Linked DNA regions of Caenorhabditis elegans. The protein of the gene in region 1 interacts with the protein of each later gene in a pairwise test. Each region holds a gene or a part of one and is shown on either strand. Other genes may lie near its edges.

Region 1 (8,812 bases):
TGCACCATCAGTGAACAGTGCATTCACCCATGTGTACACTCCGCCACAAAATGTGAGAATTCGTGGAAAAATACTGGAAAAAGCGAGATTTTTAGCTCGAAATTGATAAATTTTAAGAAAAAATTGAAGTTTTGAGCTAAAAATTGGCAAAAAGCCAAAAAATTTCACACTTTTAGCCAAAAATTGAGAGAAATTCCAAAGAAACATCAATTTTTTTTGCCAAAATTTACTTTATTTTATTTTTTGGCCCAAAACTGCACAATTTTATTTAAAAAATTAGCTAATTGGCCTAATTGACACAAAATTTTCAACAATTTTTTTTTTTCAGAATGCTCCTGCTCTTGCTCCATCTGCTCCAACAACAACGTCAGCAGATTCTCCGTATTTCACCCCGATTCCCTACAATCCGAGCCAACAGGAGAAGCCTTAATTTAAAAAAAAATTAAAATCTAATTTTTTTTTGCATTGTGATAATTGAATGTTCTCCGCGATTCCCCCTCCATCCATTTTTTTAAATTAAATAAGTAAATCCCCCCGAAAAAATCTGAAAATTTTGAAATTTCAGCACAGAAATAGTCGAATAACTTGGGTTAGAATGATTTGTGTGTCCTATGGTTCCCCTTTTTTAATTTTTTTTTCCTGAAATTTCCTCCCCTTCCCCATTTACTGCTTCTTGTATTTATTATGCGTGCAAGTCCCTCCACCCCCACCCCGAGAAAGTTTTATTATTATTATTATTATTTATTTCATTTTTCTTTCGATTCAAATTTTTTTTTTTTGAGTAATGAAAACCACGTTTTTTAAAAGATTTTTCCACATTTTAGAGCGGGATTCTGGTGGAAAATTCAAAGTTTCTAAGAAATCTATTAGCGGAAAATTCAAATTTTTTGAGAAAAGCAGAAATTAGGCGAAAATGAACGATTTGAGGTATTACGGGTACACAAAATTTTGAGAATGCGTATTGCACAACATATTTTACGCGCGAAATATCTCGTAGCGAAAACTACAGTAATTCTTTAAATGACTACTGTAGCGTCGATTTACTAGCTTGATTTTCGAAGGAATTTTTTGCTTAATCGATCCCTAAATAATTTTAATTAATTCCGAATAACGAGCCCGTGAATCTGCACAAGCCCTACAGTAATCATTTAAATAATTACTGTGGTTTTCTTTTCGCTACGAGATATTTTGCGCGTCAAATATGTTGTGTAGTACGCAATTCTCAGAAATTTGTGTTCCTGTAATATGTCTTTTTTCCAACAATTACGGAGTCTTTTTGCAAAAAAAAAACCCCATTTTCTCACTGCAAAATCCAATATTCGTAATAAAAATCAATATTTATTGAAAATTTCGGCAGGAGACTTTAATTTTCTTTAAAAATACACAAACTTGGGGATTTTTAGGGCTACAAGAAGTTTTGCATTCATTTTCCACATAATATTGCCGGCAAAAAACTCTAAAAATTAATTAGAATTTGAAGAAATCCTAAAAACACATCGATTTTTCAGGGGGTTCTGGCCTTCCTCATTGCATTTTTTGCGCTCCATTGACAATCGCCCGACGGGCAACGCATGGGAAAGTGTCGTGTACTCCACACGGATAAATACATTTAGTTTTACTATCGAGCCGCGACGCGACACGCAACGCGCCGTAAATCTACCCCAGATATGGCTGAGCCAAAATGGCTTAGTTCGGCAAAAACTCTTCCATTTCAATTTATGAGGGAAGCCAGAAATCCTTGTTTTTTTTTTGAAAAAAATCCACGATTCTGTGTATTTTGACGTGACGGTGTACTACGTACCGAGCATTTTATTCGACGAGACACTCACTGAAAAAAAACCCAATTTTTAAAAATTTTTCTCATTTCAAAATGCAATATTCGTAATAAAAATCAATATTTATTTGAAAATTTAAATCAACAGCGAGAATTGCAAGAAGCACGAAAAAGAAGAAAATATTAATTTTTTTTGCGTGCGTTTCGGTGCAGTTTTTCGGGTTTTTATACCCGGGAGATGAGGGTACACTTGTTGCAAAACTCGGGGATCGAACATTAAAAAAAAATTAAAAATGTATATAATATTTTATTCTTCTTCATCAGCGGGCACCGTCAGAAATTCAATGTAGCTTGCGTTTCCCTCGCCGTGATCGATTGAAAATTGACAGGAGAGGACGCCACGCTCGTCGACACGGAGGATGAGCTGGAAAAAACTTAAATTGTAAAGTTTGCATCAAAAAATTCGAGACATTTTTTTTTAGAAAATTGAAAAAAAAATTTCGAAGAAAAACATTTTTTCTAATTTTTTCTCGATTTTTGAAACTAAAATTTGATTTGGAGCATAACGTTTTAATTTATTTTTCGATTTTTTTGGCCAATTTTGGAGTTTTTGGGGTTTTTTTTCGGGGAAAAAAACGGAAAAATGTTGATATTTTTTGTTGCAAAATTGGAAAAATCGTTAAAAATGCTTTAGACATTTTATTTATTTTTTTCGAAATTTTTTTCTGTTTTTGAAAAAAAAATGAAAATTTTTTTTTTCAAATTTAAAAAAATTTTCAAAAATCGAAATATTTTTCGAAAGGAAAATTAATTTTTTCACAAATAAATTTATTTTTCTAAAAAAATCGGCTCAATTTTTTAAATTAAAAATTATAGTGAAAATAATTTTCACAAATTTTTTCAGATTTTTTTCAAAAAATTTCGAAAAAAATTTTTTTTTTCCCCCAATTTTTTCATATTTTTAATGAATTTTTCCTGGAACCATGATAACTTTAACTAGGAAAAATCTAGCAGATAGGCTAAATTTCTTTCCAGAAACTACCTTTGTAGCCAGTATAAAGGCGGTAGTCATTCGTTGAATAAGCGACAGAAGATAGCTAAATTCAACTTCTTCAAGGCACTTTACACTTTCCATTTGAAGGCTTCGAGACGGTATTGATACCTGAAAGTATAAAAAATTTGGTTTTAATTTTTTAAAAAATATTTTTTCAAAACAATTTTTTTTTTTTTTTTTTGAGTTAAAAAATTAAAATTTTTTTCTTTTTAATTTCCTAAAATTTATTTAATTTTCAATTTGAAAAATCCTACTGTAGTCTCGCCAACATCACCGAAAGTCGTGAAACACAGTGAATTCTTGGTGAATTGAATTCTCACCGTTCGGCTTGTGTCATCGAAGTCCTGAAATAGAGAAAAAAAATTAAAAATTCGTATTTTTTTAATGCAAAAATAAGAATTTTTATTTGAATTTTAGAATTTGCGCGTCAAATCATAAGTATTGGACGTCGATTTTTTTGGGTTTGGGTTGGAAATTCTGCAATTTAATCGATTTTTTTTTATTTTCGAAAAATTGAAACAATAAAAACTACTTTTTAAGCGAAAATCGAATTTTCAAGTAAAATTTTTTTTCCAAAATTGAAAACGGAAAATTTTCGTTTTTAGCTCAAAAAGTCGGAATTTTCGGATTTTTTTTTTGGTTTTTTTTAATTTTGAAAAATTAGAAAATCGGAAAAATATCAAGGTTTTTTCAATCAAAAACGGATTTTTTTTTTGAAAAGTAATGAAAAATTCGAAAAAAAAATTTTTTTCAGAAAATGTTTTAAAATATGAAAAACAGACCAAAAAACACCGATTTTTCTGAACGGAAAACATTTTTTTTCGTTTTTCGACAAAAAAGTATCGAAAAATAAAAATAAAACGTTTTTTTTTTCAAAATTGAAAAACGGAAAATGTTCGTTTTTGGCTCTAAAATTCGGAATTTTCTGGTTTTTTTCGTCTTTTTTTGTTGAAAAATTAGAAAATCGGAAAAACCGAAAAATTTTTTTTCAAAAAAGTCGAAAAAAAGTTTTTTTTCAGAAAATGTTTTAAAATGTGGGAAAAAACCCAAAAACAATAATTTTCTGAAGGGAAACCGATTTTTTTTTTCGTTTTTCGACTAAAAAATTTAAAAAAAAATGGTTTTTTTTTCAAAAAAGCTAATTTTTTCAGAAATTTTTTTTTGGAGTCGAAAAAAACCAAAAAATGTTAATCTGTCAGAACAAAAAGAAATTTTTTTGTTTTTGCGACATTCGAGTAGTTTTTTATTTCATTTTGAAAAAATCCAAAAAAAAATTTTTTTCCAAAAAGTCAAAAAAAAAATTCAGAAAATGTTTTAAAATATGAAAAAAACCGAAAAACACCGATTTTTCTGAAGGGAAACCGATTTTTTTTGTTTTTTCACTAAAAAAGTAAAAAAAAAAGTTTTTTATTTAATTTCAAAAAAAAAACATTTTTTTCGAAAATCCAAAAAAAAAAATTTTTTTTGGAAAATGTCTGGAGTTTAATAAATTTTTTTCGAATGTTTAAAGGTTTCAATGATAAAACCTTGATAATCTCCTTGAGAACTTGAGTTTTAAGCAGATAGGTCGCCAGCACACCAGCGTCATCGAATTCAAAGTCGAGCTCCTAAAAATAGACAAAAAAAAATCTAGGAATTTCGAAAACCCGGCGAACTTGATCTGCCAGCGTTGTTGTAAAATTGCCACGTGCCACCCATCCGTCTGCGTCTTCAACAAGCATTTTCACAGGCTGAAACATTCCCGGATACGAGACTTTTACAGAACTCGACGAGTTTTCCGAAATGCTCAGGAATTCCTGGAATTTTTTTGTTTTTTGCCACTTTTTTGGGCTTTTATGGGCTTTTAAAGGCTCACAGAAATCGATTTAATCGAGATTTTCATCGAAACTATCTCCTCGCGAACTTTAAAACTCGAGAAGAACGCCGGATTGATAAAAACGCTGGCCAGCTGATAGGATCCATCGTCGACTGTGATCTTCATGCCCGCCTCGGAAGCGTGCCACGTTCCTGTCTGGAAAATTGAAAAATTTAGATTTTTTCTCAAAAAAAATGAAATTAATATCGATATTTTCCAACACTAACATCCTTAAAAGCGACGGTTTTGAAGACCTGCGCGAGCTCCTTCACATTTTCTTTTTTCAATTCCATAATTGTGCATTGACCCGTTTCTAATTCCATCATTTTTCCTGAAAAAATTTAAATTTTAACCGGAAAACTGAGAAAAATCGCTGAAAATTAAATATAAATTAAAAAATTAATTCTCGCACCGTTTTCCGAGAGGAGTACACCTGCGGAGTTTTGTAGGCCATCGCACCTCGTCCCTCTCATTTGCGCGGAAATTCAAATTTGAAACCTCCGATTTTCGATCTTTTCACCCTTATTTTACACTGTGGCCAGTGTAAAGTACTTTTTCTTTTTGCGAAAAAGATTTTTCTTTCGAAAGCGAGAGAAGCTCACTGATTGCGTGACACACTCATCCGTCGTATCATTTTTGCTCGAAACTAGTTTACAACTTTTATGTGTGCGTGTGTGTGTGTGCTCTTTTTGGCTCCGGATGAGCTGAGCGGACCACGGAGCTATTATGAAATCCCGCGGTCCCCCATATAAACATGAAAAAAGAGCAATTTTTGGGAGTTTTTGGTGGGAGACGGGGAGGGCAATTTGTTCATACATCAATGCGTTTTTGTGTATTTGCTTTTTTTTTCTTTAGGAAGTTTCGAGATTTTTACGATTTTCCAGGCATTTAGTAGATCCCTAGTGTCCACATTTTCCACGTGGAGTACACGACGCGTGGTCAAATCTGGTGCATTGAATTTTTCGCGCTCCATTGACAATCTCCTGCCGGAAAGGACATTTTCCACGTGGAGTACACGGAACGTGGCCTAGAAAACTTTTCTTGGATCTTCACGGGGTTCTGGCCTTCCTCATTGATTTATTCGCGCTTCATTGATAATCGCCCGCCAGACAACTAAAATCGAGCCGCGACGCGACACGCAACGCGCCGTAAATCTACCGCAGATATGGCCTGAGAGACGCAGGGGTTTTTTTGAAGAAGGATATTTGATGGGACAATGGGAAGAAAAAAGGGATTTACAACTTGAAAATTCAAATTTTGCGCGTCAAATCTGGTGCATTGAATTTTTCGCGCTCCATTGACAATCGCCTGCCGGACAACGCGTGGTAAAGTCGTGTACTCCACACGGACAAATTCATTTAGTTTTACAACTAAAATCGAGCCGCGACACGGAACGCGCCGTAAATCTACTCCAGATATGGCTGAGCCAAAATGGCCTAGTTCGGCAAACTCTTCCATTTCATTTTATGAGGGAAGCCAGAAATCCGTAGTTTTTCTCTAGAATTTTTCTAATTCTATTTTTGTCATGCTAGTTCTTTTCCTCAAATTTGGTAAAATTTGTACTTTTTTACTTGTACTTGAGAATTTGTACTTCAGAAAAATAAGGCAAAAACCGCTTGTCCACGGGGAGTACACGACACGTGGCCTAGAAAACTCAGCGCGGTATTTCAAATTAAATTTCATGCCTTTTTCTGTGTTTTCTGTTATTTTATTACGCTAACAAAAAATCCTGAGAATGCGTATTGGGCAACATATTTGACGCACAAAATATCTCGTAGCGAAAACAAAACTACAGTAACCCTTTAAATTACTACTGTAGTGCGTGTGTCGATTTACGGGCTCGATCAATGATAAATGAATTCATTTCGAAAATCGAGATCCCGTAAATCGACACTACAAATGTCATTTAAAGAATCACTGTAGTTTGCTTTTCGCAACGAGATATTTTGCGCGTCAAATATGTTGTGCAGTACGCATTCTCAGAATTTTTTGTTCCCGTAATATTCTTGCTCCGCATTCAAATTTGAGCCGAGAGAGAAGAAAATCTTGTTTTTTTTTTCGAAATTTCCACGACTCCGCCTCCTGTGTGTGTGTGCATTTTTTGGTTCGTTAGCGCTTGAGGCTATGGGCTCTGTCGAGCTCATTTTTCTGTTTTTTTTTCGTGCTCCCCTTCCTATTTTGGCTCGCGGAGCTCAGCTATAAAGCGAGAAAATTGGTCTATAAAATTTTGATGAAATTGAATTTTTTAATTGCTCTGTAACTGAAAAAATTATTAAATAAAAATTTAATTCCCGCTATAATTTTTTGGTATGCGCCTTTAAATTGTGAACTACAGTAGGTTCAGACATTTTTTCTGGAATTTCACGTGGTGCCAGGCTGTCCCATTACGGTTTGATCTACAAAAACGCGGGCATTTTTTGCCCAACAAAATGTGACGTCAGCACGTTCTTAACCATGCGAAATCAGTTGAAAACTCTGCGTCTCAACTCCCGCATTTTCGTAGATCTACGTAGATCAAGCCGAAATGAGACACTCTGACATCACGTGAAACTTTCAGACAAAATATTCGAAAAATTTAATCAAAAGTAATCAAAACTTTAATTTATTTAAAAAAAAACTGTGAAAACTCAATGTCAGCAAATATTTCAAGATTTGCGCGTCAAATCTGATGCATTTTTTTCAACTTAACAATTCTTTGCACTACCCGAGAAATTCAAATTTTCTAACGTTTGTGCGTCAAATCTAGTGCATTCCTTTTTTAAATTTCAGCTTGAAGTGCAATTTTAGCCTAATTTCTACAATTTTGAGTTAAAAATCTTTAGGTTCTGCAGACACGGAGTTCTGGCTTCCCTCATAAATTGAAATGGAAGAGTTTGCCGAACTAGGCCATTTTGGCTCGGCCATATCTGGGATAGATTTACGGCGCGTTGCGTGTCGCGTCGCGGCTCGATTTTAGTTGTAAAACTAAATGCATTTGTCCGCGTGGAGTACAAAAAATGCAATGAGGAAGGCCAGAACCCCGTGAAAACCCGAGAAAAGTTTTCTAGGCCACGTTCCGTGTACTCCACGTGGAAAATGTCCTTTCCGGCAGGAGATTGTCAATGGAGCGCGAAAAATTCAATGCACCAGATTTGACGCGCAAAATTTGAATTTTCCAGTTGTAAATCCCTTTTTCCCGATTTTTCTCCATTGTCCCATCAAATATCCTTCTTAAAAAACCCCTGAAAAAGAAACATATCCAGTTTTCCGCGCGTACACAATAATTCTCGAGGTGGACAATTATCCCCCATTCGTTCTTATTCTCTGCGTCTCTCAAATCCCACACACTCTCTCTCAAGTCTCGTCATTGAATTTGACCGGTCCGGGTGGCCAGAATTAATCTACAAAAGTACTTTTCTTGCACCCGGGGCACGGATATCAGACTTGAAAATTTCCAAATTAAAATTAAAATTTAGTTAAGGCGATGTGACGTGGCGCTGGCGGGGATGAGGAGTAAATGTAATTGGATTTGGGATTTCGGACGAAAAAAGCTTTTAGTGAAAGTAGATCCCGCCAGTTTACTCTTCAGAGAATACTACCAGCAACACACCAGATTTTGGGTTTTGTTGTATTGATTTTTTTGGTTTTTATTCAAGAAAATTTGAAATTCTGAGAATGCGTATTGCACAACATACTTGACGCGCAAAATGTCTCGTAGCGAAAACTGCAGTAATCCTTTAAATGGATACTGCAGTCGATTTACGTGCCGAAGTAGCGATTTTGGGTATGCGCCTTTAAGGTTACTGTACTTAAAAATGTTCTTGAGCCTTTTTTTGCGGAAAATCGGTCATTTTAGGCTATTTTTCTTTAAAAATAGCTAAATTTTCACATGATTTTGCAGGATTCTAGCATAAAACAAGTCAGAGTGTCCCATTTCGGTTTGATCTACGTAGATCTACAAAAAATGCGGGCAAAGTTCTCGACTGATTTCGCATGGTTAAGAACGTGCTGACGTCACATTTTTTTCTGCAAAAAATTCCCGCATTTTTTGTAGATCAAACCGTAATGGGACAGCCTGACACTATGTGTATAGATAAATGAATGATTTTAATCAATTTCGAAAATCGAGACCGTAAATTGACACAAGCGC
Region 2 (6,490 bases), on another chromosome or scaffold:
CGAAAAGTCGATTTTTAGTTTGAAAATCTCGTAATTTTCTAAATTTTCACCGAAAAGTTTCCAAAAATCGGCCAATTTTTCTTTTAAAAAAAGCCTGAAAAATATAGAATTTTTATGCAAAAAAAATCCGAAAACCCCGATTTTCTAGGACAACATTTCCTCAAAAACCTGATTTTCTGATCAAGAAATTTCAATTTTTCAGTGAATCCCTATCCACACTGACGTCAGCCTCACTTCCGAAGACTCGAATCCACAAAACCCGTGAAAATGTCATGTTGGGAGCTCGAGATTTGTCAAATGTGCTCGATATTATCACTTCAGCCCAACGGCAATGGGATTTAAACGAGAAAAAGGAAAAAGTGGCGGCTGTTCATGCTACGAATCTCTCGAAAGATCAGTCTGGAGCCGCTGGTGGACAACAGCAACGTTCCGGTTATTCTAGATATGCTCAGGAAGCTTTTGCTCATGTAAGGGAGCCCCCTCCCCAAACTATGTGAAAATTTGAGAAAAATTGGTGAAAAATCGATCTTTCTGCTATTTTTCACGCAAAAATTCGGAAAATTTGATCCAAAAATTATGAAATTCGTGAAAACCGGCAATTTTTTCCTAAAAATTCAACATTTTCACCAAAAACCCGCTAAAAATGACGAATTCGGATACTGTAGCCCCGTTTCTGTGCAAACAACAACTACAGTAACCCAAAACACTGGAATTCACGACAAATTGCACAAAACTCAAAAACTGACGTAAAAATGCGATTTTTCACGCAAAAATTCGAAAATTTTGATCCAAATAAATGAAAAATTGAGAAAAGATTCGAATTTCAGTGAAATTATGTCCAAAAATCTACTAAAATTCAATTTTTTCAGGAAAAAACCAAGGAAATTCAAACGGAAGGCTCTTTTATTGGAAGTAATTTCAGCAGTATCAAGCAGGGACATCATGCGGTACAAAGTTCGTAAAATCCGAGAAATTGCAATTTTAAATTCAAAAAAATCAGAAATTTTATAAAATTTGACCCTAAATTCGAAAAACACCGAAAAATTCCCACATTTCGAAACAAAATTGGAAAACTTCATAAATTGACTTAAAATCCGGGTTTTTGTAATATTCTCACCAATTTTGACTGAAAAAACTCGTAAAAAATGCTTTTTTTTTTCATTAAAGTTGATCTGGAAAGCTGAAAATTCGGAAAATTTATGAAATTTTCACTAAAAACCTGTGAAAAACCAATTTGTGCCGGAAAATGTGATTTTTAACACAAAAATTCAGAAATTTTGCTTCAAAATGGAGAATTTCATGAAAAATGACGATTTTGGGTACTGTAGCTCTATCTCTGTGCAAACACCGACTACAGTAACCCAAAACGTCGGATTTGACGACAAATTGCACAGAATTCATAAAATTTGACCTAAAATCTGGGTTTTTTTTCTGAAATTTCTACTAAAAAATGTAAAAAACGCCAATTTTTCACAAAATTTTCAATTTTCCAGAAGCACCCGACGCTCCCCCAGGCCGTCCTCCACTCGCCAAGCCCATCCAGCTTCTGACGTCATCAACTGCCACGTCATCAGGCTCATCAGCAGCTCAAAATGGCTCAAAACGGACGTCTCGCTCCCCGATCATCATCGTTCCGTCGGCAATGAATACGATGATAAATTTGTACAATGTTCGAGATATTCTGCAGAATTTCAGCTATGTTCCTGTTGATCAGCGACGAAAAGAGACGAATAAGAAGCCTGTCGATTTGGCTATTCAACGGCAGAAAAATGGTGTTACTTGTGCGTTTTTTTGGCTGGAAATGCGATTTTTCACGCGAAAATTTGGAAATTTTGACCCAAAAAATGAGAAAAACTAAGATTTGTGCTTGAAAATCTGAATTTATTGGAAAAATTTGAAATTCTTGAGCCAAAAATGCTGAAAATTAAACATTTCGACGAAAAAAACCCCGAAAAATGACGGTTTTGAGTACTGTAGCCCCATTTCTGTGCAATCACCGACTACAGTAACCCAACACATCTGAATTTACGACAAAATTCTGAAAATGGTCAAATCCTTCTCGAAAACTTGCGTTTTGCCTGAAATTTACGATTGTTTACGCGAAAATTCGAATATTTTAACCCAAAAATAATGAAAATCGTAAAATCCACCGGTTTTTGCGCAAAAATGGAAAATGTTGACTTAAAAACTTGAAAAATGAGACGATTTTGGGTACTGTAGCCCCATATCTGTGCGACCACAGACTACAGTAACCCAAAACACCGAAATTTACGACAAATTACACAAAACTTGAAAATAGACTTGAAAATTCGATTTTTCTCGAAAAAGTCCTTTTTAAAGTGATTTAAAATAATTTTAAGCTAAAAAATTGGAAAAATACGCAATTTTTCAAAATTTGTTTGGAAATTTGAGCAAAAAGCGTAAAACCCTGAAATTTCGAGAAAAAAACTGAAATCTTCACCTAACCTTTCGAAAATACTCAATTTTAACCAAACATTTCGAAAAAACTAGACGTTTCAGGCAATATTCGCTGCAAAAATGGTATTTTTTGGGATTTTTAACCGATTTTAAGCTAAAAATTCGAAAAAAAAACAAAAACTCCATTTTAACCTAAAATTTGAAATTGATTCAGACAATATCCGCGTAATCGACAATGCCGAGAAGCTTGCCAATGATGATTGGGATCGTGTGATCGCCGTCTTCGTAATGGGTGTCGCGTGGCAATTCAAAGGCTGGAAATGGAATGGAAATCCGACGGACATCTTCACCCACATTCCTGCATTCCATTTCCACGTCGACCAGGATAAGCCGGTGGCTCAAGTGATGCAGTGGAATGTACACAAGATTCCAGTCTCGGCGACGAAACGGCACATGGATAAGGCTCGATTCAGTCAAGTTTGGGAGACAATCGAGAATTTTGTACGCAAGAACAAGCCACATCTCACCGCCCGTCTTGGACTCTGAAAATTCTCGGAAATTTTCTTTTTTTCTTCATTTTTTGCAAATTTATTTATTCATCACTTTTGATTTTATTAAAAATGCCATTTTTCTTCAAACAATTTTTAATCGAAAATTCAAATTTTTAGCGAAAAAATCATTTTCCACGTGGCGAAATCGTCATTTTTGGAGTGGAGAAAATTCGATTTTCAAGCGGAAAATTGCCCAATTTTCGTCAGTTTTCGTCAGCCAGGCGGCGCGGTCGCGTCGCGGCAACAAATTTTTTAATTCGTGAATTTTCAAGGTAATATTTTGGAGAAAAATTCAAATTTTCCAGTTAAACATTGTTTCGTTTTTTGGCCAAAATTGCCTTCTAGGATTTTCGAAATATTGCTCCATTGGCCACGCGGAGCGGTCGCTTCGCGGCTTTTTTTTTTTTCATGATTACTGGCTCAAAACTAGACACTTTGAATTCCCAAGTTAAATTCATTTGTCAAAATTCTTCAAAAGAGTTCGGGGAGTAGTGCGATTCAGAAAGCAGAAAGTGAGAAAAAAATTAGAGGTATAGCACAAGTATTAGAAATATACCAAAAAATTAGGTGAAAATTAGCGGGAGAGAGGGAGAGATCATGAGTAATTTAACGGAAATTGAGGGGAAATTTAGTCCATATTCTCGTCGTCGTCAATCTTTGGAGCCAAGTAGAAGCGAAGATATCCATTCTCCTCGATCGGATACTCGACAACGACCGGAACATCGTTGCACAGAGAGAGACGAACTCTGTCGGAAAGTGCCGTCGCCTTGGTGAACTGATTCATGTACTTGATCGAGAAGTTCACATTAACCGGATCCTTGACCTCCAGTGTTACAGCCTCAGTCTCATCGTCAGTGTTGGAAGATGGGGAGTAGGTGACGACAGAAGATCCGATGTCTCCCTTTCCGGTGAACACGATGCCAGCCTTGGTGGCGGTGATGTTCAACGAGTCGGAGAACGTCGACAGATCCTTGCAAGTCTTCTGGAACTCGCCGGCAGGCATCTCACAAACGACGGCGTAGTCTTGATCCGGGATCCCGAGATGTTCGCTGTCAATGTCCATCATTTTGACTGTCACGTCTTGGGTCTTGTCACGCTTTGGATCGGCGAATGTGAAGATGATCGAGTCGCCTTCGTTTTCCTCATACTGCAATGAAAATTGGTAATTTTTGGGCTTAAAATTGGAATTTTTCGGGGAAAAATCGATAAAAAATTTGAATTTTCAATGATTTTTCAGGCGGAAATGTTGTTTTCTAATGATTTTTAAGGCATAAAATGGAAAACTCGGACTATTTTGGCATAAAAATCGATAACAATTTGAGTTTCCAGTGATTTTTCGGGTGAAAAATGCTGATTTCCGCCAAAAATGTGAATTTCTAATAATTTTTAGAACGAAAAATGATTAATTCAGACTATTTCGGCCTAAAAGTCTCTAAAAATATTAATTTTCAATGATTTTTAGTGCGAAAAAAAAAACTGATTTTGCCACTTTTGACTACCGAAAAACCACATTTTCGGATTTTTCGGGCGAAAAAGTCCGAATGAAGCGATTTTTCGCATGAAAATCCACAATTCAAGGTGAAAAATGCTGATTTCTTCGATTTAAAGCTTTTACAATCACCTTCAGCATGCAGGTATCGTCGTTGTTGGCGCACTTGAGCGCCTTCGACATATTAGCCAACGAAAGTCCGAGGTTGATGGTCCGATCGCAGCGATATGTGTCGAAAAGGCCGACCTGAACACGGAAAATTAGCTAATTTTCTTCATTTTTCCCAATTTTACCTCCAACTTGAGCGAAACCAACGCGACGTGAGACGAGTCCATAGCCTGAAGGCTCATCGCCGTCTCGGAGCAATCGAATGGAGCATCGGTGACGAGATCCTTGATCGATTCGACGATCTTCTTAAGGAGTCCGGCGTTGGCGAGCTTGGCCTCAAACATTTTGACGGGAGATCTGAATAAAAATTATGAAATACAGCGAAAAATGCGGATTTTCACGGGAAAAAATGGGTTTTCCGCGGATTTTCATTGAAAAAACGAAGGAAAATTATTTTTTCACTCAGAAAAGCGAAAAAATCGCGAAAAACCACAAAAAAATAGGACGAAATGAACGGAGAAAGTGCGATGAATGAAGTTTCGCGCGCGTTTTCGAATGAAACTTCGCGCCTCAATTTACCGCATTCAAAAAGTGCGCCAGCAGTCGTCCTTTGCGCATTCTCCGTGCATTGCGTACCAGGCATTTTATTTGACGCGCAACACTTTAGAAAAGCGGTTTTTAATGGGGAAATAACGAATTTTCGAGGCAAATTGGTTGAAAAATAAAAATTTTAAATTTCAATAAAAAAATTTATAACAAAAATCGCTGGTAAATTCATGAAAACTGAGGCCTGGAGTTTGACACTGCGTACAATACATATAATTTGACGCGCAACTTATTTTGACGAATTTTATAATTAATAAATTAGATTTAAACCTTATTTTCAGACGTTTAAAGAACAAACAAATCAACTAAAACGTCATAATTTATTTTTTAGGCATGTTTGACAAAAAAACCTCGAAAAACCAATTATTCATTCACAGAAACAACAAAAACCAAGACTAGTGATTCAAAAAGGCAACCAATCGCTTAGCAACCCGAAAACACCCGAAAACGCATAGAAAAACATAAAAAAATAAATTATTCCCGCCGAAAAATCGTTCATTTTTCCCAATACGGCCACTGTTTCTTCATGTACCATGCCGGCGGTGTGTCGGGAATATTTCCGCAATGATAGCGGTAGATGAGGAGATTGTAGGAGTATTTTCTGCAAAAACCGAGCAAAATTTTTGAAATAATCGAGAAAAACCTACCCATCGGGCTCTTTGACTTGCTCAATATTGCCAATCAGGTCAAAAGCCGTCACAACATCCCCTTCCATTTGCTCATCGCCCTCGAAATACTCGCCAGTGCGGATAGTAAGCTGGAAATTTGGATTTTCATGAAAAATTCCCCCAATTTTTTCAAATTTCCCGCCAAAAATCCCTACTTTCTCATACTGAATCGTTGAATATGTGGGAAGAAGGTCATATTCACAACACATAAGCCGCAGACTTCCGTCAGAATGTTGAGTTACTCCCCCGACCCACGAGGAATTGGTGGAGCATGTCGTTGAAGTCGCTCGTTCCGGGCATTCCTGGAAAAAATTGAGAAAATGATAAATTTCATGATTTTTACTAGGATTTGCACGATTTTTCACCCTAAATTCGTCTTTTTGTGCATTTTGTGGCAAGATCTAGTGTTTTGGGGTACGGTAGCCGGTGTTTTCACAAAAACGGGGCTACAGTAAGCAAAATTAATTAAAAAATGGGCTAAATAGCTAAGAATAAATCGTTTTTCAAAACGTTCGACAATAATTTGATGAAATATCAAAAAATCAATTAGAAACGGTAAGATTTTCGCATTTTGGAGCCATTTTGCGACATTTCGTGCAATTTGGCGTCAAATCCAGTGCTTTGGGTTACTGTAGTCGGTGTTTGCACGG
Region 3 (10,051 bases), 1.1 Mb from region 1:
GTCGAGACCGGGTACCGTATTTTTGAGTCTCTTTTCAAATGAGTAATAATAAAAAGTGATCTCTGATCACTAGGAGTTTCCACGTTCTCCTGTTGTGTGTCTTTACAATCAAAGTCTACTTCCCGTGTCTGCGTCTCTTCCCCTCGCGCACTCTCTTCTCACTGCCCCAACCTCCCTGCGTCTCTTCTCTTTTCCATCGGTGCTTTGTCGTTTGGAATTCGATTTCCATATAATTCCACATATTTTTTAGAGAAAATAAATATGACAACTTCTTTGGGACAGACAATATTACCGTATTTATCATTTACGGCTCTTTCATCGACTGTTGGTGAGTTTTTTCTAAATTTTTTAAGTTTTAAACGAGAATTCAGCTTCAAAAAATTTTCAATCATTTTTCTCCAGAAAATTAAATTTTATATTTTAATTTAATTTCTTAGAAATTTCCAAAAAAATCGGAAAGAAAAGTGAAAATTTGGCGAAGCAACTTTTTTTCAAAGCTTAAGCTTTAAAATTTTTTTAAATACAGGTTATTATTTTTCGGTGGCCTAGAAAAAACAAAAACTCGGCCATCGTGTTTCCTAGGCCACAAGTGAATCAATGTCCTGGCACGACTGAAACGTTTTGTCTACCGTACCCCCTAGTACGGTAGATTCGCGATTCATCTCTAATTGCCTATGCCTTTTTAAAAAATATTTAATTAAAAATTTCACAAAAAATTTAAATATCGAAGAAAAGTTCAGTTCATTTAAAACTTTTTTTCGTACTTGCGAGTACGGTAGGTGAAAAACTATTGTTCGTGGTGGGACCCATTGCGCGTAATTTAGGATTTTTTGACGGCGAAACAACTTAAATCAGGAAAAACTCTTCCAGCTTTCTTCCTGTGCGGCCTCCAAATTTGCCATCGCATCAAGACACGTGGCTCGTCGGAAGGAACAAGCCCCGCCCCATTTCTTTTGTGTAAGTTGTTCCATTTCCCACAAAAAAGCTGAAATTTCGAATTTCCAAAATTTCAGCATTCTTGTCATGTGGATTATTCATTCAATACGGTCTTCTAAAAGATGATGACGTCATCACTTATTGCAACGGAATCGGCTGTTTTCTTCAGGCGTGTTATCTTATGTACTTTTACTACATGACAAGAAATCGGGTAAGTTAGAATTATTACGGGAACACTAAAACCTGAGTATGCGTATTGCACACTATATTTGACGCGCAAAATAAATATCTCGTAGCGAAAACTACAGTAATTCTTTAAATGAATACTGTAGTGTTTGTGTCGATTTACGGGCTCGATTGTTTGAAATGAATTTCTTATAGTGACAGCAATATTTATTTTTTTGTTGCCTAATTTTAATATTCTATCGATAAATCAATTATTTTAGTTATTGGTTTCGAAAGTTGAGCTCGTAAATCGACACAAGCGCTACAGTAGTCATTTTAAAAAATTACTGTAGTTTTCGCTGCGAAATATTTTGCGCGTCAAATATGTTGCCCAATACGCATTCTCTGGTAATTTTGATTTTTGGGAGAAAGTTTAATTTGAAAAAAATGAAAAATTAGAAATATTAGAAAAAATCGAAAATTGAATTTTTTCTCCCGTTTTTCGAATAAACATTTCGAAAAGCCGCCACTTTTGCAAGCAAATCTGAATTATAAACATCATTTTCAGCGTTTCCTGAATAAAGTGATCAGTATTGAACTTGGAATCATCGGAATCGTCGTCTATTGGGTGGCTCATTCAACAAATAGTCATCTCACAAAAACGACATATGTCGGCAATTATTGCATTTTTCTGAATATTTGCAGTGTGGCGGCGCCGTTATTCGATATTGGAAAGGTAATTGATTTTTTTTGGGACACTGATAGAGGTAATACGGTATTCTTTTGCGTACGTGGTGCCAGGCTGTTCCATCACGCTTTGATCTACAATAAATGCGGGAATTGTTGGTTTAAGCCAAATTCCCGCAATTCTCGAAGATCAAACCCAAATTAGACACTTGAAATTTTCATTCCAAACTTTTTTCAGGTGGTCCGTAACAAATCCAGTGAATCTCTTCCGTTGCCGTTATGTGTCGCGTGTTTCGTCGTGTGTCTTCAATGGATGTTTTATGGATATATCGTTGACGATATTGTGATATTGGTAATTGGGTTATTCTTTTTTTTTTGTCGAAAAATACAAAACTGTAGTTTTCGAAAAATGTGTTTTTTTGGAAAATGTAAAATTTATGCTAAAATGGCTAATTTTACACTTTTTTTGAATTTCAGAGAACCCTGTCGAAGTCGAAAAATGATGTATCGTTTTCATTTTAAAAGTGTTTAAAAACATTTTTTTCATGAACTAAAAAAATTATTACACACGAGCTTTAAAAATAATTGAACTTTCAAAAACAAACAAATTATCATTTCCAACAAAAACCCGTTATCCTTGCAGGTGCCAAACGTCATCGCAACGGTCATCTCGATTCTGCAACTTTCACTATTTATCATTTATCCGGGTGCTCCGGCAGGTGTTCTACCGCAGAAATATGAGCATATCTAACCATATTGAGTATCCGAAACCAATGGACCAAGCCGCTTGTCGAATTGTTGGCTCATTCTCATTTTAGACGTCGTTTCAGTTCCCATTAGAATTCGACGAATCTGCAAGAAATATCGATTTTTTTTGGCATTCTGTGAATGTTTTTGTGCGTGTGTGTATAGAGATCTCTTTTGTTGGGTTTTTGATGTGCCTTTAATAAATTATTTATATTTTCCTATATTTCAGTTTTTTTTGTAGAAAATTGTACCAAAACATCCTCTTTTTTTTGGAAAACTTTTGGAAAAACGAACTGAATTTTGAAAAAAAAAATAGAGAAATGATATTAAATAATGTAAAGCTTTAACATTTTCAAAAAAAAATCAGAATTTTATTGAAACCAAGAAATGGGCGGAGCCTAACAAACCCTCCAACTTTCCGACAAGAATTAAGCTCCGCCTTTTACGTAATTTTTTTTCGAATTTCAATGGTTTTTTACGAAATAATCAGAAGAACTCATAACTCATTTAAAAAAAAAGTATTTTTGGAGCCAAAAAGTGGGCGGAGCCTAACAAACACTTTCTACCTTTCTATTTCTGTCATCTTCGGCGGTTTTTCTTCTTTTCGGCTGGGGAATTTTGAATATTTCTTGATCTTCTTGTTCAGGTTCTTCTAGCATTTCTACTTCTACGGGAATTATATTTTCTTCGGGGGTCTCTACAGGAATTGTTTCAATACTGACATCTTGCATTGCTTGTTCTACGGAATGCTCTTCTTTTATTGTTCTGGTGACTCTGAAACTTGGTTTTTTTTTCTGAAAAAAAATCGAAAATCTTTGGTTGAAAATTTCTAAATTTTTTCAATTTAGCAAAAATTTAAAAACGGCCGAAATATTTTAATTTATTTTCGTTTAATATTTGATATGAAACCTCTTTTTTTTTAAATTTTCGTAATTTTTTCCTCTAAAAAAAAACTTAAAAACATAAATTATATATTTTTTAATGTCATTTTTTGTATAAAAAATATTTTTCGTTAAAAAAACAGATTTTGTTTATTTAGGATAAAACCTAATTTTTTTAATTAAAAAATCCAATTTTTGTCTTTTTTTATCAAAAAAAAAAATCTATTTTTGTTTTTTTCTTGGAAAAATTCAAAATTTGTCTTTTTATCAAAAAGAAATCGGATTTTTTTTTTGAAAAATTCAATTTTTGTATTTTCCACAGCCTTACATCGGTTGATTATCGATTTCCATAACTTCTTCAACAATTTGTAGATCAGGAGACGGTTCTCGTTGTTCATACCTGCAAACAAAGATTGTCAAGAGACATCTAACGGCCTTCACGGAGACAGAAATGACGCGCCTCATTGGCTCAGTGGCAGAGCGTCTGTCTAGTAAACAGAAGGTCGCTGGTTCGATTCCAGCATGAGGCACCGAATTTTTTTTGCGGGTTTTATACTTACACAGTCACTTCACGATCTCTCCAAGATTGCTCGGCGACTGGAATTTCTGGAACGAAGCGGTTTCTGCTGGGAAGGGATTGCGAGCGAGTAGTTTCTTCTTGTGACAGTGATTCGGAGCATTTTTTTGATTTTTGAGTTCCTGAACTTGAAGTGTCAATTGCTTTTGATTTTCGGCGGGAGCTTCTGGAATGAGTTTTCGTAGAAAAAATAATTTTTTCAAAAAAAAAATTTCTCACGATGAATGAGCAGTAGATTTATCTTCCTCCTCTTCATGCTGCGCCATAGTTTCTTTCTGCAAAATATAATTTTGAACAGAAAGATGCAAATGTGCTCCACTGGCCATGTGTCGATTTACGCAGACCGTGTACTCCTCGAGGAGAAGTGAGATTTTTTTTCAAAAGAGGATTTTCCAGTGACTTTTTTTTTTGGATAAAATGCCCGAAATCCGTAGTTTTACACGAGATTTTCCTTTTTTTTTGAATGATTTTCCGGAAAATCAAAAAACCATTTTTTTTTTGAAAAATAAATTTTCAACAAAAAAGTGGTGCCGTTTTTGAATTTGCGATGTTTTTTTTTGGAGAAAATCGAAAAATGGAATAAAAGTTGATTTTTATGGCAACATGAATATTTTTTCTTTCAGAAAAATCTGAAAAAACTGAAAAATTAAAAATTTTTTATTTTTTTCAAAAATAAAAAAATATTTCTAAATGTTTTGCCTTTCCAAAAAAAAAAGGATTAAAAGCTAGTATTTTAGGCATTTTTTCAAGTAAAAACTTTTTTAAAAAATATTTTTATATTTAAAAAAAACAAAAAATATATGTGAAAATTTCAGGAAAAAAAATAATTTTTCGATTGCTCACTAATCTGTTTTCTTTTCTTTTTCTATAAAATTTGAGAAAGATTTTTTTTCGGAAAATCGAAAAATTTTGGTTTTTCGATTTTTCTAAGTCAGAAAACATTTTGATTTTATAAGACAATTTAATGTTTTTTTTTTCTCATCAATATAAACAAAATTAGATTTAAAAATTGAATTTTCTTATCAATTTTTTCCGATTTTTTCTGATAAAATCTCTATTCTATTTCCTTACCAAAATGCCTCCATCTAAGTCAATTTCATCGTCACTTCCCATCGTAGCCAACGCCAGCTCAATATCAAAATTAGGATGAGCTTCAATTGATACAATCAACGGTTTTCCTGGTAGATCATAATACATGCAAACTTCTGATCCCAACTGATCGGCAAATGTGACAATCGATAAAAATTCCTTAATCGAAAAAGAAAATTCGACGGGAATCTGAATTTTGTGCCGGGTGAGCTTCTCGCAAGTGATTGTTGTCTCAGTTTTTACTTTTTTGGCGCCTTTTTCAACTCCCATGTTGAACATTGTAACACCGTCCAATGAATGGAAATTTCGAATTGTTAGACCATCATCTGTTACTTTCATTGTTACTTCAATGTCACCTTTCATTTGAACGAAGATTGGGAGAAGCGTTCTGAAATATGGATTTTTTCTCGATTTTTTTTTTGAATTTTTCTAATTTTTTAAAACATTTTTTAGACAGGAAATATTTTTCGTTCTAATGAAGGGTGTCGGTTTTTCGATTTTTAATTTAAATCGAAATATCGGTAATTTTTCGTTTTTTTTCAGATTTTTTGGGGAAAAAAATAGAGTTTTTGAATAAAATATCTTGAAATTTTGGAAATTTTTTTTATTATTTTTGAACAAATTTAAATAATTTCTTGTTAACTTTCTAGAATTTCTGAGCATTTTTTTTTTCAATTTCAAAAATTAAACAAAAAAAAACATTTTTTATCGAACATTGTTAGATTTTTTGAATAATCGGTAATTTTTCGTTTTTTTTTGTTTTACCGATTTTTCGAAAATAGCTTAAAATGTTGGCCTTTTTCCTTATTTTTCCATTAAAAATTGATTATTTTGTTGATTTTTTGAACATTTTTTTTTCAATATTATGATTCTCCGGAAAAACCAGAAAAAATCAATTTTTTTCGAATTTTCTGTTTTTTTCGGAAAAAAAATCGAAAAATTGGAATAATGTTGATTTTGATAGCAAAACGAATACTTTTTCTTTAAAAAAAACCAGAAAAATTAAGGAAATGCCTAATTTTTTTTGAAAAATCGAAAAATTTTCGGTTTCTAAAAAAAGGACCAAAAGCCATGATTTCAGCGAATTTTTTTCCATTTCCGTAGATTTTTTTGAAATAAAAACAATTTTTCATGGAAACAGAGCAAAACTAATTATGTATTTGAAAGAAGAAATGTTTTTTTCTGACTTTTTTGGTTTTTAACTCTATTTTTTGAGTTTTCTCCGATAAATTCTGATTTTAAATTGGAAAAATCCGCAATTTTCGAGTTTTTCCAGATTTTTCAGAACTTTTTTCGCGACTTTTCATTTTTTTTTACTAACGATGCAAAAACGACAGTGATATTTCTACATCCAGAACGATTATATGTTGGCTTATGAAGCATTGATCCCATTTCTCGAAGCTTTGCGTGAATTGTTCGCTCAATATCTGAAAATTCAGCCAATTTTTCGAATATTCTGCAGCTAATTTTCTTGCCATAATTCATCTGAAGCTTCACCATCATCCGTTCAGCCTTCGGATCGATTCGAAATTCACATCCAACAAAGTTCTTCTCCCCGAACGCGACGCCCTTGAAAATACGCTGAGCTGACTGAAAAAAAATTAAATTTTTGCCGAAATTTCTGAGATTTCTCCCCACTTTCATCGATAATCTGCAAATATTCACTGCTTTTTTGTTAATCATTGATACATCGCAAGCGTTGAAAAATTCTGGTGCAAAGCGGAACACGCAGAACTTTGAACGGTTCACTGTTTTGAAGAAGAGCTGGAAAAAAACAAAAAAATAATTTTTTAGCCGAAATTTGACTTTTGACTCACCCCGCCTTCGGAAACCTCAATTAACACGTCTTCAGAGATTTTGCTCAGCGCTGCGATGGATCTTGACATAACTGAAAGAAAAATAAATAAATAATCCGGCTAAAACCCAGAAAAAGTCACTTTTAAGATTGGATTGGACCACAAATTGGGCGCCTTTCATATCTTCATGCTGCCTTTCCCTTGTTATTGATGACGATGGATTATCTGTATAATTTTCATGAATGGCTTGCATTTGATTTGAGATTTCCCTGAAATTTCAAGGTTTTTAAAGAGAAAAATTGAAATTCAGAATAAAATTTTGAATAAAAAAGTTTTCCTCTCGAAGTACACGGACGAGAATCCCCCGTCGCTAGGCCATGCGCTGCGGACTCCTCTCGAACGATTTTTTATTTTTTATTTTGATTTGTTTTGTGATTTCTGACATTTTCCCTTCTTTCCCGCGGCGCATGCATTCTCGTGTTTCCACAAGAGAACCGGTATCCCGTGCAGAACATGAAAAGACGAAAAGAAAAACCAGCGATGCGTCATATATCGTTCTTTTTATCCGTCAGGAGGTACGCTGGACATGATAAATGGAGTTTTGTTCCAAACTATTCGGTGTCATGTGCTTTTTTCCTCTTCATTGCTCACACATATCCGCTTCTTCTTCTTCTTCTTCTACCCCGCTTTTCCAAAAAAAACGCAATAAATATTCTTTATTCCTCAGGCTAAAGGTTTCCTGGAGCATCAAAAATCTCAAATTTCGTGGAAAAATTTTTTAGATTTCAGGTTTTAGGCTTACTCAAGTTGTGGAATTTCTGAATTTCAGACTAATTTGGGTATTTTAAATCGAAATCATTATTCCTAAATTCGGTAATTAAAGTCGATTTTATATAATTTAATCGTAGTACTTTTGAGCAGGGCCCTGCAGGGGTGGGTTGCCGTTCGGCAAATTGTTTTGTCGACAAATTCGGCAAATCGGCAAACTGCTGATTTGCCGGATATCAATTTTCCGGAAGTTTTTAAAGGGATTATTTTATAAGTCGGAAGCACTTAAAACTGCCTTTTTGAAATGTTTTCCCGTTTTCTATAGATATTTTCATAGAATTTCCTTAATTTTCAAAATAGATGTAGGAACATTCATAGGATGCGTACAATCTTGCCGATAAAATTGAAATTCTGAAATTTCCAAAAAAAAATGTGCAAAACCACAATTTGACGAAAATTTTAGGCAAATTGGCAATTTGCCGGTTTGCCGATTTGCCGGAATTTTTTACCCCTGCTTTTGACCATTCAAAATTTTCAAATTAAATACCTTAAAATCCCATTAACATAAAAAAAAATGGCATTCCACTTCAAGTACCTCTACGCTGTAAACTGTGGTTGTAAACTAACCGGACCCCCATCCAAATCGATTAAACCACCCCTTCTCCTTTCACATCTGCGTCTCTATTGATATGAATCACTCTCTCATCCAAAATGCCCAACAATCATTTTGTTCCATTGTTTGTTTGAATGTGCCATGTCCACTCTTTGGGTCTCTGTTTGCTTTTCCAATACACTCCTTCTGGATATATATTTCATTTTTGTTTCGTTTAGGCATGACCTCCATCACATCTGCATTTCTTCTTCTTCTCCTCTTTGTGGCAGGTAATATACATAGTTTAAAAAAAATTAATACATCGAAAAAGCAAATCCAATTTATACAACAATATCACATGCATAACTATACAAAAATTTCTCACAAAAAATATCATAGAAAAGAGACCATCTTCAAGTAATTTTGCGGGAAATTATTTGCTGTAACTTTTTACTAGGTATTTCATTTTTAATTCATTAACATTATACAACTTATTCTTGAAGCCGAAACTCTCTATCCTAAAACATGATTTTAAAAGCCACTAATTTCTGAATCGTATTCAAATTTCGCGATTTCAATTTGGATCTTCATAGGCATTTTTAAAGTTGTATTTAATTACAACACGTCATTTTTTCAATTTTACAAGCTAAGAACCTGTAATCTTAATCATCACCGTCTATGTATGCGTATATACGATTTTTAATTACGCAACATTACACGAACGGAGTCTCTATACAAACATAGCGGCTATTTTATGACACATCATCGTGAATTGAGAGATGATACATTAAAAAGTGAACTCTGGGAATCTAGAATCTAGTTTGGATTGTTTTTTGAATTACTCATCATAGTGAATTCATGTGAGTCATGTAAAAAATTGAATGAACAATTGTAAAAGTCAATCAATGGAATGGAATTTGCTTCCGAAAAATGAATGAATACTGCCGAATTAAAAAAGAACATCTAGTAGTTGAAAAATTAATTTAAAAAAACTGAAAACATTTAGAAAATTATTTAAAAAGTATATTTTCTAGCATTTAAAGCAAAAATTCTTCTCCGTCTTTATTTTCTGATTAGTGCCTATTAACGAAATAAACACATAAAACAATTAATACATTCTAGTTAAAATAAATCTAAAATTCCAAAATGTTCAGTTGCCTGCCGATCAGTTCCATGCCTGGACGGATGTACGTGTGAATTGTCAGAACATGATCCAGTGATCAGATGTGATGGCGTTGGTCTCAATCGTTTCCCATTGCCCCATTCATCACCACTTCGCGGTTTCCATTTCCTGGCACTCACTTGCAATGACATTGACACAATTCCGGCGATTAGCATGATCAAAGCATCATTCCCAGATCTTCAGGGAATTGATGTGCAGGGAAATACTCGGTTGAATTGCTCCGATTTGGTGCATTTGCACAAGGATATTCCAGTTTTGTCGGATTGTGATAATGAGAAGCCGTTGCAGTGTGATAATCTTGATAAGGTTCGCGAAAAAGATTTGAAAAATAGAAAAAATAACAGTACTACCAAATTTCAGAGAAAAGCGAAAATTTTCGATTTTTGGTTTTTTTTTCTAATTATGGGAAATCAGGGAAAATAAGACATTTTCTTCCGAAAAATCAACAAAAAAATGTACAAAATTATACGAAAAATTTTGATTTTTCGATATTTTCAAAAAAAAAATTGAAGAACCGATTTTTCATGGCACAACATTATTTTTTGCGGTATAATATAAAAACGATTAAAAAAAACGAAAAACGCGAAAAATCGAATTTTTCCAGAATTTTCAATAAATGACACTCGGAAT
Region 4 (6,542 bases), on another chromosome or scaffold:
AGTTGGTATCTTTTTGTTATCTTTAGTGACTGTGGAGATGTGAGCCCCAAAAGATGACCAAAATATTCTAGATCTGTGCTCAGCTATATCTCGGTTCTCGATAGAGATGAAAAAATGATTACAACTATCAAAATGTTTATTGCTTTAAGCTTTAAAAGGCTGTAGTTAATTACTTTTTGATATCTCGTTTCTAGAAAATGATACAACCGTTTTAAGACAGGAGGTTTTATTGTTCAGTGTCCCAAAGAATTCCGTTTTGACTCATCGAAAGCATCGAATTTTGCAAGAAAATGCTTAGAAACAACAAAGTAAAGATATTTCTACAATATCTCATAAATATTTGATACTTTTTGAAAAAAAATTTTAAAGCTTTTTTCGAAAAAAAAAATCGAAAGGGTCCCTCCTTATGAAAATTTTCAAAAATTTTTTCGAAATTTTTTTCTGAAAACTTCTCAAATTTTAATTAGATGTTATACAAAATTGCAATGTTTGTTGTTTTTTTGAGTTTGGATATTCAGCACACAAGCTTAGACAAAAACCGGAGGTATAGTAGAACTCTTATGTTTAAAAATCGCATTCACTTTGTATGCTTATATCTTACTGGAAAAATTTTTTATGGCAAAGTGATCAACTACAAAGTTATTTATCTTAATTAAAAATACAACTTTGTAGTTGATCATTTTTTATCAAAAAAATTGGTGGTTGAGATAAAGTTGTGAGAAGTGCCGCAACTTCATGCTTGTATTTTCTTTCTCTTTCTCTCTGTATATCTCAACCACCAAATTTTTTGATAAAAAACAATTAACTACAAAGTTGTACTTTAACTCGAGATAAACAACTTTGTAGTTAATCACTTTGTCATAATAATTTTTTCCACGGAGATATAAGCATTCGAAGTGAATGCCTTTTTTGAACTTAGAGGTTCTACTAAGCCTCAGGTGTTCGTCTGAAATCGTGTTCTGAACGTTCAAACTGAAAAAAAACAACCGACATCGCATTTTTCTGAAAGATCTGATCGTATTTTGAAAAGTTTTCAAAAAACAATTTCGTAAAAATTTTTGAAAATTTTCATAAGGGGGGACCCTTCTGATTTTCAATGCGGATCATAAGGGGAGACCCTTATGAATTTCAAACATCCAAAAAAAAATTTTTTTGAAAACTTGCTTCTAAATTATCAGATATCGTAGTAAATTATATCTACTTTATTTTTTGTCAATTTAAACATTGGGTAGAACGTTTTTAGCTGAGAAAATGACTATTTCTTGAAGCATTCGAAAAATAGTATAAGTTTTTGAAGCCGTGAGTTTCCTTGGGCATAAAAGATATCATAAAACGATCAACAACAAATTTGTTTAACTAGTTATGGAGAATGTTTTAAAAATAAAAAAATGTTTCCTATATGTGTAATGTGCCAAAATATGGCTTGTCGAAGTCAGTGCTGTTTTGCTCTTTCTCAACTGCGCCCATCTTCTCGAACATGCAAGATAGAAACATATTGCCAACTAATAACTTGTTGTTCAGTTCATTTCTGACAACTTTTCAGTTGAAGAAAATTTTGTATTTTACGTCTCAAGGATGTTAGGAGCTCTCAAACATACTATGTTTCAATGACCCAACTCTAGACTTTCCATGATTTTTTGGCTGAACATTCATTGTGAAATCTCACACTTGTAGAAAATATCAAACTGATCATTTTCTACACGTTCAACATGTTTTCGAAAAAATTTTCAAAACAAAAAAATTTCATCAAAAATTTTATATCATAAGCCTTATGATTTTCGAAATCTGACAAGTTCCTTCTAAATCGAGAGTTTTGTTTTTCAGAAACTTTAGTATCAGCAAAAAAACAGTCAATAAACAGAGAACTCAAACAAAAATAGCTTTAAACTAACTGAAATGAGCACTTTAATGATGGGAATAACGGCCAAACAAAATGCGCACATTGCGAGCGTTCGCATTGTGCCCATCGGCGAGGCATTATGCTCGTTTCTGCGAACGCTTCGCAAAAACGCACATAATGTGAGGTCCTCGTTCGCAAACACGCGCATAATGGGTCTTGAGGCATTATGCGTCCGTGGCGAATCACCTGTGCATTGAGGGGAGTTGAACTTGTCCGTCGCTTGTCGTTGAGTCTATGAACCATTATCTTACCTGTTGAGCCATCCTGTACGTGTCGCATCTAGATTTAGTTATTGCTTAAGTAAATAGTTGATGGGCGCACGTCCTTTTCGTTACTTTTGATGGGAAATCAGTGACTTTTCGCAAATTTTCTAAGTGTCAGAGCGAAATTGGATAACTTTCTTTGAAAGCGAATGTGGAAAAACGATTTATTTGTTATGCTTTTAAAAATGTTAGAATTGCAATTTTTCCGAATTTTTGTCAAAGAGAGAATAACATTTTATTTTTTCAATATTTTATTTCGCTAACAATTTGATTAAAATGATGAGTATACTGGGAACATGCTTGCTGTTGACAATATTTTATGATTTCAATTGAAATCAGAAAATCTCAAACGCATCACGCGTGAATGAATAGTTGTAAGTCTACTTTAATATATTCGACCAATCTTCGTGATTGTTTGACTGAATTTATAATATGACCGGCCAATTATCTAGAAAAAATTACATGAGTGGACAGATTTGTGAATTCTGTGGCTTTCTCTGCAAAAACTCCTTCTACAATATGCAACGAAAAATCAAATATCCGTTAACAGTGAGATACTCCATTATATAGATTTTCATGTAGCTGTTTTTTACTTTGAAAAGTCTTTCATCATTTGGAAGAAAAGAGAATTTAGAACGGAACAGTAATCATAATTGTTGTATATATATCACGATCATGTGAAGCCGATGGGAATTTGGAAATGATGTTTTGTAATCTTTATGGACTGCAAAAAGATTGCAAATTAATCTTAGAATATTACACATTTTTTTGTAATATTTTTAGATTTCAGAAAGATTGCGAACCAATCTCAAAAGATTGCTATGTCATCTCAAAATATTACGAATTTTTCGTAATATTTTCAGATTCAGAAATATTGCGAATCAACCTCAAAATATTGCTCAATCTAAAAAGATTTCGAATAAGTCTCGGAATATTGCGATTTTATCTTGAAATATCACCCAACTACAAAAATATTGCTATTTAATATTTTCATATTAGATTTGAGTTGCCTGAGTTCCAGCAATTTTAGAAAAAAAATTTATTTTTCAACTTCCTCTTGAACTTCGGCTATCAAAATAAAAGTTTTTTCAAGCTTATCTTTTTTTTGGAATTTTATACAGTTTATCAAAAAATAAATGTTTAAAAATTCGCTTGAAAAACTTGATATTCTGATTTTAAACTTAATTTAAATTAAGATGCTTTGAAAATCAAAGCCAATAAGCCAGTTGATAAATGGATATATATTTTAAGAAATAAAAAATTTATTTGCAGAATTTATGAGATCTAGAAAATTAGGCATTCAAACAACGACAAAAAACATTATTTCTAATCCGAAACATTTCCAACAATATACGAAAGAACGCAATCCTCATTGTGAAAATTGAATTCTGCCATTCGATTTGAGATGATATCTGGAAAATTTTTTTTTTGTTAAAAATTATCAAAATATTTCCGATCCTACTCATTTTGGCACGTGTCCGAGTGTTGGCGAAACTTTGAAACAATGGAGAAATATTTCGAATCATTAATTGAACTTTTGCAGTATCCTCTTGACTATCGGTTTCCGATGGATTAGTTTGAAGATCCGAGAAGCTTACATCAATCTCGCCAGTTTCAATTTTCGTAGAAATCCTCAAATCTCCTGATGTACTGGCTGTGAGCTTCTGGATGAAATTAACTTATATTTCAGGACTTTATTTGTGTATATATTATTACCACAACTCGAGTGTTCATATTTTTGAAGACGTGTAAGAAACGGGACATCATTTTAGGAGGTGGCATGCTGATTGACATCTGTAAATATATTTTTTCAATAGAGATTAAAAAAATTAATGTAAAGTTATAATTATCATCATAAAATCGTTTACTTTTCTGTGTCCAATTGACGGCCTGGAGTACGAATTCCAATATTTTGATAGAATAATTGTGATTGGAATTTGATGAGAAACAATATCGGCTTCTGGATTTCTAACTTCGACAGACAACATTGGCTCATCTTTTTGACTTTTCGATAGTTTCAGTTTCAGATAACAGTGTCCGCCGGGCAGAACACGTACTAAACTATCGATTTCCAATTCAAAATAAATCAAATTTTGCTCTTCGTTTCGTGGATTCATGCCAACCATATCGAATTTTCGGAAAATTTGACTGCTATAGGGAATTGATAAACTGAACCAACTTCCACCATCATGGAGTCCTGAACAGCAAATAAAGTTGAGAGCTGAAAGTTCATAGAATTTTATTAATAAAACAGGATTTTTAAAACCATTCTTTTCTATTTTGACGCAGCATCTTTTCTTACTCAATTTGCTCACTGATGTCAAAATTTCTGAAAGACAATTTTTTCAGATATTTCATAGATTTTTTAATAATCAGTCTGCTCACTGATAAACACGTCGATTGCCGCAGTATCTTGGAGAAGAGAACTGAACTTCATTGTTTGAAACCTAGAAAATAGTGAAAATTAGTTAGAAAGAGAAGGAGACGGAGAATGAAAAAGGGAAAATCGCGCGCGATGGAAGAAATTTGAAAAAAGACTTTACTTTTGATATTTTTCGAAATTTTTTAAAATAATTATGTTTAGAGTTAAAATTGCAAGGAAAAATGAAACAAAAATTAGTTTAAAAATAAAAACCACCGTATCTCTTTCCCTGCGAAACCAATTCACCGTATTATTGTATGTGCCTTTAATCTTTAACAGTAAGCATAACATGTGATTTTCGCCTTCTTTTTATTAAAATCTAAATTATTACAGAACTTTTAAATAATTTGATTATATTCTTTGTTTAATTTTTAATCATTTAAATTCAATTTAGAAATGCTAAAAATCCCAAAACAATGAGACACTATTTCCCTGCAGGACCATTTTACAGAAATACTGTATGCACCTTTAATTTCTTTTCAAAAGTAAGCGGCCTTTCTGTCGAATCATTTTTCGTTGATGAACTCTTTTTTCTTCACTTTTACTCTATATTATCACAAAAATTCGAATTTTTCAGCGAAAAAATCGAAAATGAGTGGAGGAAAAGACGAAGCCAGCGACAAAGCGCTCCTAAAAATCCTAAAATCTAAATCACCGAACACAATTGCCATTTTCTCACGAGGCGAATACTTTTCTGTGTATGGCGATGACGCCACCTTTGTCGCTACTAACATTTTCAAGAGTGATGTTTGCGTCAAAACGTTCACTTTATCAAGTAAGACTCGAAAAATCAAAATAAAATCTGTAAATGTGAAATTTCAGCCGACAATTCTCAACAAATGAAGTACATTTCCGTAAATCGTGGACAATACGAGAAGGTCGTTCGTGAAACCATCGTACTGCTCAGATGCTCCGTTGAGCTATACTCGAGTGAACAGGGAGAGTGGAAAATGACGAAGCGTGGATCTCCAGGAAATACTGTGGATTTTGAGCAAGAAATTGGAGTGTCAGATCAGGCTCCGATTCTTGCAATCTATATTCATCCAGGAGATGATGATGTATGACGATTTTTATAGATTTTTAGATTTAGAGATTTATAGATTTTTAGATTTTTAAATTAATTCCCAATTTCAGAATCGAGTAACATTGTGCGCTTGGGATGCTGGAAATGTTCGCATTGTGATCAGTGAATACATCGATACTCCTTCTTTTTCTCAAACGGAACAATGCATTTTTGGACTATGCCCCACAGAATATATTCTAGTGAATGAAGGATCAGTTGCACCGAAGGCTAAGAAAATAGCAAGCATGTTCACGAGAATGGAGGTTCACAACAAGCAACAGCTGAAGCCAAAGTCACAATGGAGCGATGTAATCGAGTCGGTTCATCTGGATTATAAAGATGAAGCCGAAAAACAAAACGAAAACATCAAGGAATGCCTTCAAATTCTACACTCGAACGCAGCCGATGAATACAGTATTTCTGAGAAGTATAGTATTTTCAATTACGGAACTCATGGAAATATGCTGATTGATTCATGTGCTGTGGAGGCTCTGGAGCTTTTCCAATTGAATTATAATTATTTGGGTAGAGTTATAATGTTACATTTTCCTTGAAAATAATTTAATTTCAGAGAAATCGAATAATTTGACGCTCTACAATGTTTTAAACAAATGCAAGACTCTTCCTGGAGAGAAGTTGCTCCGTGATTGGCTTTCTCGTCCACTTTGCCAGATCGATCACATCAACGAGCGACTGGATATTGTTGAAGCTTTGTTCGAGAATCAGACAATCCGTCAGAAGCTCCGCGATTCCATTCTTGCAAGAATGCCAGATTGCTCTCAACTAGCTCGTCGTCTCATGAGAAAATGCACTCTTCAGGATCTCAATCGATTCTACCAAGCTGCAACTCTTCTCGAGACTGTCGAAATGCAATTGATTCAACTTTCAGAAGCT

The links.
Region 2: the proteins of mrt-2 (region 1) and pcn-1 interact in binary tests that used the Caenorhabditis elegans proteins (3 or more experiments, as listed by UniProt).
Region 3: the proteins of mrt-2 (region 1) and hpr-9 interact in a two-hybrid assay, tested with the Caenorhabditis elegans proteins (3 studies listed by BioGRID).
Region 4: the proteins of mrt-2 (region 1) and hus-1 interact in a two-hybrid assay, tested with the Caenorhabditis elegans proteins (5 studies listed by BioGRID).

The regions. Positions count from the first base shown.
Region 1 is NC_003281.10:11,743,246-11,752,057, reverse strand, and holds mrt-2 (Cell cycle checkpoint protein RAD1 homolog mrt-2), read right to left. Parts: upstream 5,293-8,812; 5' UTR 5,096-5,292; intron 5,015-5,095; 5' UTR 5,010-5,014; coding exon 4,911-5,009; intron 4,840-4,910; coding exon 4,684-4,839; intron 4,625-4,683; coding exon 4,484-4,624; intron 4,436-4,483; coding exon 4,355-4,435; intron 3,173-4,354; coding exon 3,083-3,172; intron 2,937-3,082; coding exon 2,817-2,936; intron 2,199-2,816; coding exon 2,082-2,198; 3' UTR 1,883-2,081; downstream 1-1,882. Other genes in the region: gbf-1 (Golgi-specific brefeldin A-resistance guanine nucleotide exchange factor 1 homolog), read left to right, coding at 1-52, 329-430. UniProt on the Caenorhabditis elegans protein: May be a component of the 9-1-1 cell-cycle checkpoint response complex that plays a major role in DNA repair. Promotes DNA double strand break-induced cell cycle arrest and apoptosis, thereby playing a role in genome stability.
Region 2 is NC_003282.8:4,044,526-4,051,015, forward strand, and holds pcn-1 (Proliferating cell nuclear antigen), read right to left. Parts: upstream 4,924-6,490; 5' UTR 4,911-4,923; coding exon 4,752-4,910; intron 4,705-4,751; coding exon 4,591-4,704; intron 4,117-4,590; coding exon 3,598-4,116; 3' UTR 3,412-3,597; downstream 1-3,411. Other genes in the region: cdc-73 (Cell division cycle protein 73), read left to right, coding at 203-467, 870-954, 1,494-1,781, 2,633-2,964; wrt-5 (Warthog protein 5), read right to left, coding at 5,668-5,773, 5,820-5,929, 5,996-6,142. UniProt on the Caenorhabditis elegans protein: This protein is an auxiliary protein of DNA polymerase delta and is involved in the control of eukaryotic DNA replication by increasing the polymerase's processibility during elongation of the leading strand.
Region 3 is NC_003281.10:10,618,637-10,628,687, reverse strand, and holds hpr-9 (Cell cycle checkpoint protein hpr-9), read right to left. Parts: upstream 7,138-10,051; 5' UTR 7,132-7,137; coding exon 7,020-7,131; intron 6,971-7,019; coding exon 6,900-6,970; intron 6,847-6,899; coding exon 6,721-6,846; intron 6,673-6,720; coding exon 6,558-6,672; intron 6,510-6,557; coding exon 6,404-6,509; intron 5,471-6,403; coding exon 5,065-5,470; intron 4,269-5,064; coding exon 4,213-4,268; intron 4,160-4,212; coding exon 3,977-4,159; intron 3,959-3,976; exon of another isoform or gene 3,871-3,958; intron 3,817-3,870; coding exon 3,745-3,816; intron 3,310-3,744; coding exon 3,102-3,309; intron 2,757-3,101; exon of another isoform or gene 2,641-2,756; coding exon 2,541-2,640; exon of another isoform or gene 2,540-2,540; coding exon of another isoform or gene 2,465-2,539; coding exon 2,454-2,464; coding exon of another isoform or gene 2,432-2,453; 3' UTR 2,290-2,431; downstream 1-2,289. Other genes in the region: swt-4 (Sugar transporter SWEET), read left to right, coding at 251-328, 871-957, 1,014-1,147, 1,670-1,837, 2,027-2,140, 2,432-2,539; lron-10 (eLRR (extracellular Leucine-Rich Repeat) ONly), read left to right, coding at 8,480-8,528, 9,393-9,727. UniProt on the Caenorhabditis elegans protein: May be a component of the 9-1-1 cell-cycle checkpoint response complex that plays a major role in DNA repair.
Region 4 is NC_003279.8:3,696,170-3,702,711, reverse strand, and holds hus-1 (Checkpoint protein), read right to left. Parts: upstream 4,611-6,542; 5' UTR 4,601-4,610; coding exon 4,549-4,600; intron 4,493-4,548; coding exon 4,430-4,492; intron 4,385-4,429; coding exon 4,032-4,384; intron 3,958-4,031; coding exon 3,880-3,957; intron 3,828-3,879; coding exon 3,626-3,827; intron 3,576-3,625; coding exon 3,490-3,575; 3' UTR 3,412-3,489; downstream 1-3,411. Other genes in the region: msh-2 (DNA mismatch repair proteins mutS family domain-containing protein), read left to right, coding at 5,177-5,360, 5,408-5,643, 5,720-6,173, 6,220-6,542.